Elephas maximus indicus: one gene and its partner. The protein of the gene in region 2 interacts with the protein of the main gene of each other region in a biochemical or structural test. Links are inferred from orthologs where the notes say so. Each region holds a gene or a part of one and is shown on either strand. Other genes may lie near its edges. The genes, in order: SETD7 and DNMT1.

Evidence for each region.
Region 1: of the proteins of DNMT1 (region 2) and SETD7, one has a biochemical effect on the other in vitro, tested with the Homo sapiens proteins (2 studies listed by BioGRID and IntAct, with this or other methods). The link is inferred for Elephas maximus indicus from reciprocal best matches to the Homo sapiens genes DNMT1 and SETD7.

What each region holds. Positions count from the first base shown.
Region 1 is NC_064823.1:3,707,737-3,711,644, reverse strand, and holds the start of SETD7 (histone-lysine N-methyltransferase SETD7), read right to left. Parts: upstream 2,901-3,908; 5' UTR 2,636-2,900; coding exon 2,221-2,635; intron 1-2,220. UniProt on the Homo sapiens protein: Histone methyltransferase that specifically monomethylates 'Lys-4' of histone H3. H3 'Lys-4' methylation represents a specific tag for epigenetic transcriptional activation.
Region 2 is NC_064821.1:28,326,490-28,330,397, forward strand, and holds the start of DNMT1 (DNA (cytosine-5)-methyltransferase 1), read right to left. Parts: upstream 2,643-3,908; 5' UTR 2,489-2,642; coding exon 2,409-2,488; intron 2,381-2,408; exon of another isoform or gene 1,922-2,380; coding exon of another isoform or gene 1,893-1,921; intron 1-1,892. UniProt on the Homo sapiens protein: Methylates CpG residues. Preferentially methylates hemimethylated DNA. Associates with DNA replication sites in S phase maintaining the methylation pattern in the newly synthesized strand, that is essential for epigenetic inheritance.

The DNA of each region.
Region 1 (3,908 bases), on a different chromosome or scaffold from region 2:
ATAATAACTGCATAACATTTAACTGTCGCTTCCAAATTCAGTTTGTAAACAACTATTTTATATACTTGACAGGCCCATTAGAAAGAAAAAATGTGGGGAGACAGTATGAGATGGTAGTAGAGTGGGGTTCTGAAGGCTCCGTATCTGTCTCCCCACCTAGCTACGTGACCTTGGATTAGTTAACTTCTCTTGCCTCAGTTCCCTCCTCTGTAAAATCAGGATCATATGAGCACCCACCTCATAAGACTGAATGGAAAATAGATATGAAACACTTAGCACCGAGCCTGCACATCATGAAAACAGTTATAATTTACAAGTAAATTATAACAATAGCTATGACAATGAAACTATTGAGAACAGAGGCTCTGTTTACGGAGGGTAAGGTAGAGGAGATAGAACTTAAAAAACCAAAATATTCAGACTAGCTTCTCTTTGGGAAAGTTTACCACATTGTCTCATGCATGTGTTGGGTGATGAAGTCAAGGGCATTATAGACAGCACTAAGAATGAATGGAGAAAAGCCCGGGGGTGCAGTTTACTGTCCGTGCCTAGACACTGCTCCAGTTTGAGCCTGAGACTCGCCTAAGGACTTGGAAAGGTTCTGAGTTCCTCTGTTTACAGTTAGGTACAATTGAGTCACCATGTGTCCTGGATTGGCCCAGACATTCAAGGTTTATTAATAGTTCCCCCTCTCATCTCAGAAGTGTTCTGATTTGGACAATAATGCATATGGTCACCCTAGAAAACTAGTAAGAACTTGCCCTGATTCTAATCCACCAGACAATCTCAAAAACAACACCCATACATTTCTAAAGCCACTTGTTTACATTCTGCAAATGAGCCTAAGGACCAGGGGACACAGGTCTTCAAAGGGGAAGGTGCTTCAGTCTGGAGAGCACTGCTGTTACCAAGGGTTTACTTTAAATTTTTACAAGTAAACCTAACCTTTGAATAATGAGAGCAAAACCCATCAATCTGAGAACAGCATTTTCATCCTTCTTCTTTTTTTTTTTTTTTTGTAACAAGGAAGCACAAGAAGTCAGTAACTTTTAAATTCTAAGAAGGCTTCCTATGGATCAACTGAATGTCTTTGGACCCCAGTATGCCCCCACATGAGCTTTACTTATTAGATTGATACATAGCTCTGTGAGTTCAAATCATTATGCAAATTTTCTTAACTTAAAAAAAAAATTACATGCTGGCTTTGATGCTGGATGAAGAAATAAGAAATTTTACAAGTTACATTAAAATGGATACCTTTTAGAGAATTCAGAAATACTATTCTACTTTATGTCATCTTAAAACCTCTGGTGTACTTCAAAAGGAATCAATTCTGTTTTATAAAAATATAAAAATGTATTTCGTGCCTCAAAGAAGAAACAACTATGTGCCCTAATACATTGGTACGATGTCACCACTTTTTCTTTACTGTTTGTGAAAAACTTGTTTACACCAATTAGATAGAAACAAGATTCAACCAACGCCTAAAAATTTATTTACTTAGATGCCTGGTTTAAAATGTTCTGGAATAATACCACACAACATTGCAAAACATCACGACGTACCGTCTGGGGGTAAAACCAAATAAATAAATACGCTAAAGAGTATTTTCCAATATTCACTGTACAAAATCATAACACTTCAGGGTACAAACAAGGAGATTGTATAACGTCCCCACCTCGTTTTTTTAGAACTAGCGAGAGGTGGAGAAACTCAGCAAAACAAAGTGGCAACAAAAGTCGGGGGAGGGGCGCTAGAAGAGAAGGGGCGGAGAAACACGACACCAAAGCGGTGATATCACCCACAGCCAACTGCGTGGAATTCAGAAAGTTAAGTATCACCCAGCAATTTCAGTCCCGGCTTGCGGCGCGCCTGCACAGCGTGGCGGCGGCGGCGGCGGCGGCACCGGGACTGGGAAGCAGGCAGGGGGAGGGGGCGGTGTGGCTGAGTTCGCTCGAGGGCAGGAGAGGGAAGGGTCACCCGCCTGCCGGACTGTACGCGTTCAAGCCCCGAGTCGGGACTGTGGTCCCTGGCCCGCAATGATTTCATCTTCTCGTCGGGCCACGGCTGCCACGTGCCAGGTCCGGCCCCGTGCGCTGCGCCAGGGGACTGACCCAGGCCCGGCCTCGGGCGCCGCGGGGCGCAGCACCGAGCGGAAGGAAAGGGCTGGCGACGGAGAGGAGCTCGGGGTGGCCAAAATGGGGTAGGGGGATTACTCACGGAGACCGCTCCTAGGGTCTGCCTTCTTGCGCACCGCTCCTCCATCCCCGAAAAGAGGGAGGCCGGGGTGCCGGGCAGGATTCGCAACTCCGAGGGCGGATGCAGGCTGCGGCTGGGCGGGATGGATCAGCCGTATCCCCCCAGGGGCTCCGGCCCGGCGGAGCCCGGTTCCCGGCCTGCGCCTTGCCGCGCATTGCGTGCCCCCAGTGGCGTAGCCGTGGCTACCCGGCCCCCACCGGAGCCGGGCAGCCGGCCACCCGCGTAGCGGACTGTGGCGGCCGCGGGGCCCGGTGCCGCGCCGGCCGCTGCCGGCCACTCCTCCCGCGCTCCGAGCCCTCCGCGCCTCCTTTCCTGGCCCCGAAGAAATGCTTGTACCTTCCACCGCCTCCTCCACCATCTCATCGTCGCTATCCATGGCGGCTGGGGACCCTGCCCGGCTGTGGGCCGCGCTGCTGCCTCCCGTCCCTCCTGGTGCTCCCGGCGGCTGAGCGAGCGCTGGGGCTCAGCCCTGCGAGTTTGGAGGAGGAGGAGGAAGAGGAGGAGCAGTCGGGGCTGGCTCGCACTGCCTCCCCCTACAGCCCTTCTAATTCCTTGGCCTTCAACTGCTGCGGCAGCAGCCGTCCTTCCTTCGCCCACTTGCCCCTCGCCTCCGAGGCTCCCGGGTGACGCTGCGGTCGCCGCCGCTGCTGCAACTTTCTCCTGTAATACCCCCTCTTTGTTATCGAGCAGCTGATCCGCTGACATCACCCGGCGCCGGTGCGCTCCCTCCCTCGCTGATTGACAGTTCCCTGTCCCTTCCCAGAAGTAAGATTCCTTAAAACGAAAGACGCTCCGGGTCCGCGCAAACTCTGCGTCCCAGCCAACAAGCCCCCGGGCCCATCAGCGTTTATCTTTTGCTTATGCGCGACTTGGCGAGCTCTGAGCGCGCCATGCGGTCCTGGGCGTCTCGGGCTTCTTGCGGACACTTCAGACCACGGAAGCCGCCTGTGGGGGCTTTGCACTCTTGACCTCCAGGTGTGCTAAGGGCAACTTGGAAGTCCGTCGTGCAGTGCCAGTCGTCCCTCGTCGGGTCAGCGTCCGAAGAGCAGAAGAAGCGTTTCTGACGCTCTTGCTCCTCTACTTCCTCTAGTCCCCACTTCACCCAGTTTGCCACCCGGAGCCGCACGAGTGCAGCACGCACGGGAGCGAGGATGTCGCCGCAGCCCCGCATAACCTCCGCAAGCCGGTTTCCCGGACTCGACGGGGTGTCATGTGACTCCGATTCCGCCGGACTGTGGGTCCCACCCCAGCGCGCTTCGTTCACACCCTCCTCTGGACCGCCGAGCGCGTCGGGTGATTCAGAGATTAACCAAACCCAAATGACAGCGGGCTCCTTATCAGGCAGGAAACAAGGCGCGCCGAAGGCCCTGGAAGTTCCTAGTTGCAATGTGGTAATGGTTAAAGGAGCTACGGAGGAAAGACCCTCCTCCGTCTGGAGCGCGTGTGTGTGTGTTCTCCCCCCCGCCCCCCACCCCGCCGCTGTTTCTTCAAGTGCCAACAACTTCACAGAATCGAGCGTCTTCAAGTGGAGAAACCCCTGGGCACCGGGCTCCCGGCCCAGCCTCTTAGGCAGTGTCGTTATGGCGCTCCCTCTTACAGGTGGCGGTAAAGGGCGGCCGTAAATAGCTGGTTAAATGGATGCGAATGTG
Region 2 (3,908 bases):
CAAAGACTTAAAAATCCAAACGTGAAAATTCTTTCTAGTATCATCGTACATCTAATGGAGTCATATCTGAGTTTAAAAAGGAAGCTGCCATATAAACACAAGTTCGCAGAAGGGACAGAAACTGCAAGAGCAGCCTAATGAGGACCAGGCCTAATTTAGCTCCTGGAATATTCTACTCAACTTATGTACCTCTTATAGATTATGCTTCTCTACTAACTTCACTAAATCAAGAAGTTATACTGCTATTTACAAATCTAAGTTTCAATGTCATGTTTATGCGTGTATTTTTTTGTACCGTAAAGTATTTCCAAATGTAAATTAAAAAAAAAAAGTTGTTGAGAGGGTCGCATAAACTGACATTTCAATTACCACCACACGGCCTAAAGCAGGCGTTCGAAACTTCATACCTCGGTGGGCAATTCTAGCTCAAAGTAATATGGAACCCGGGGTGAATGGTGGATTGTAAGATTCATCTAAACCAAAAAACCAAACCTGGTGCCATAGAGTCGATTCTAACTCTATGCAAGCCTAAAAAACAGAGTAGAACTGCCCCATAGGGTTACCAAGGCTGTAATCTTTGTGGAAGCAGACTCCCGCATCTTTCTCCTATGGAGCGGCTGGCGAGATCGAACCACAGGCCTTTTGATTAACAGCTGAGCACTTAACCACTGCACCACCAGGGCTCACCTAAAGGTATTTGAATTCAGCCATACAAAACACTTTGTGTGGGCCAAATAGAGCACCTAAGCCCATTCACAACCAGCCCCTAGTCAAAGAGAAGGGCTTTGGCAAAAAGCAGGCCTAGGCAGGAATCCCTGCTTCCTAGCAGTGAACTACCCAGCAGCTACTCTTAAAGACTCGAGGATTAACTGAGATAATGTAAAGCACATTATATAATTAGTAGCTGATTAGCAGGAGTGAGAAAACCAAGCTAAATTAGCTGATAACAATGCTAACATTTGAGCCTTTACACGGCAGACATATTCTCATTTAACCCACTGCTAGTTTATAACCCGTGTTATTAATCCTAGTCCACAGATGCAGACAGGCAGTACACACTTGCCTAAGGCCATAAACAAGTCAGTGGAGGAGGAGTTCTCACCATCAAGGTAAATAAGGCTGGGCCCAAACTTCTCTTGTTGGGGCCTAATGTCATGAAGCCTGGTACTTTCGTAATTCCACTTCCATTTTAAATACTAAGGTATCTTGGGGGAGAGGGAGACCTATGGTTTCCTCCCACAAGACACATCCCCTGTTAAGAAGTGGTTTGAACCATAAACTCCTGGTACAGAAACCCGAGTACCCCACCCCACCCCCAAGAGCCCAAATCAAAACTGACCTGGCACAACCATAGAGGTTGGTTAGACAGAGAAAACAAGGGCAGGGAAATGGCAAAACCAGGTTCACAAATCTGGCTGGAAGTGTTCAGACCTGGTCAGGGTTCCTGCTGTCTACACACACACCTCACTTGAAACAAGTTTTCAAAGAGTGAATTTAACGCCCATCAGGACCAAAGGCCTGGGTCAAACAGTCTTCCCGCCAAGCCCTGCCTGCAGAGGTCCCTACTTAGGCGTTAAGTGCTCCAGCGGGGGCCCAGACATTAGCCGGCCCCCTCACTTCCCCACGCTGGAAACCGCAGCCAGTTCTCACTAGCAAGGCTTCCTCGGTGCCCATGCCTCAAGGCACAGATTCACAGCGGCAGATTTCCTAGGAAAGACCAGAACGCATTCAGCCTTCACGCTGCCCCAGTCCTGGCCCTAAGCAGCAGGGTAAGAGTTCTTCCAGAATACGACCTCCCCAGACGGGCGAGAACCGGCAATCTGAGATGGGGCGAGAGCCCCGCAAGGAAAACGAGGCTCGAAAACCCGAGCCGACTGCGCCCGGCCCCTGACCGGCGACGTCCGTGTCTGGAGGCCGCCATCGGGATCCGCAGCGTACGGCGGTTGTAGGGGCCGAGGGGAACGTGAAGTGCCCCAAGGGGGCCGGCGGGCCAGACCCCCGAGCTGGCCGGGCACCGGAAATAGAGGCCGGAGTGCGGGGCCCAGGGGTGTCCAGAGGCTGCGGGCTACCCACTTCCTGCCCGACCAGGCTGGCAGCAGGAGCCTGGCCCACGGCAGCTTAGGGAAGGGGACCCTCGAGGTGAACCCAAAGCTTGCTCTACTTGGGCGTCTGAAAAGAAGCCGAGTTTCTAGTCACCAGGGAATTGTAAGGGGCCTCAGCCCATTTTGGCGCCAAATGGCCAGGGGCGCGCGCGACCGGAAGTGCCACCCTGCCCGCGCCAACCGCTGCCGCGCCACCCCGCGCATGCGCGCCCGCCTGTCAGCGGCGGACCCGGGCCGCCCCGAGGGGAAGCAACCCCCCCTAGTGCTGTGCCTCCCCCCAGGTGCGCGGTCTCCCGCGTCACTTACCGCCTGCGGACATCGTCGGGCAGTGAGATGGCCGGGGATGCCAGCGTGGGCACCCGGGCCGGGGCGGTGCGGGCAGGCATCTCGGAGAATGCAGTTGAAGCGGCGGCAGCGGCGCGGGCGGCCCCGGCTTTTCGCGCGGAAACTGACGGGGAGGGGCGGTGAACGGAGGCGGCGCATACCACCCAGACCCGGACGCGGGGGAAGGCGGGACGTACCAAGCGGAGAGACGCCGTAACAAGTGCGTGCAGACAGAGTGGAGCGGGCCGTGCTCAGGGCCGCGCATGCGCGAGTACGGTGCGCACCCCCGCGTGGAACAGTGAGCTCGCCCAACCTCCGCCGTTTCCAGAGGAGGGGGCGCCCAGCCGGAGACATTCATTCATTCATTCTTTTCGGCAGGTTAAGGATAAAGGAGCCACCACCTGCAGAAGGTTACGAACGTGTAGGCTCTTAAGTTAAAGTCCTCAGTTCCGACCCCACTTCCGCCTATTTGCTTACCGTACGACCTTGGGTGAGCCACTTGGACTCAGCCTCAGTTTTCTCATCTGTAAAACGGGATTAATAGCACCTACTCCAGAAAATCTTGAGGATACACAGGATGTGTAGCTAGCACCAAAGACTGCGGCGGGGCAGGGAGGCCCAGGACACTTCCACAGCCTGTGTATTTAAATAGCACTAGGACGGAGTTAAAAATTGCGGTATGTTTTTACATTTTTGTAGTTAAAAAGCGAATGCATTTATATACACACACACCCGAACAGCTGGGGGTGCGAGCGGTCCCCCTGGATAGAAGTAGATCTCAGGCCCTCTGGTTGCTATGGGTCACTCACGCATAGCAGGCTCAAAAAAACCAAAACGCGTTGCTGTTGATTCCGACTCAGCGACCCTATAGTACAGAGTAGAATTGTCCCGTAGAGTTTCCAAGGAGCGCCTGGTGGATCAGAACCGCCAACATTTTGGTTAGCAGCAGTAGCTCTTAACCACTATGCCACCAAGACTCAGGAGGACTGAAAATATTAGTAAGGCTGCAATTAATGGCTATTCATTTAGTATTTAGTCAGCACTTATGTGGCACAGTAGTTAAGAGCTCGACTGCTGACTAAAAGGTCGGCAGTTCAAATCCACCAGCCACTCCTTGGAAACCGCATGGGGGCAGTTCCACTCTTTCCTCTAGCATTGCTATGAGTCAGAATTCACTTGAGGGCAACAGGTTTACGTACTTCATTGTACTAGGCCCTTGTTAGGTGCCGTCGCGTCAGCTCCGACTCATAGTGAATCTACGTATGATAGAACGAAGCACTGCCCGGTCCTGCGCCATCCTCACAATTGTTATGCGTGAGCCCATTGTTGCAGCCACTGTGTCAAACCATCTCATCAAGGGGCTTCCTCTTTTCCACTGACCCTGAGTTTTATCAAGCATGATGTCCTTCTCCAGGGACTGATCCCTCCTAACAAGATGTCCAAAGTATGTAAGATGTAGACTGACCATCCTTGTTTCTAAGG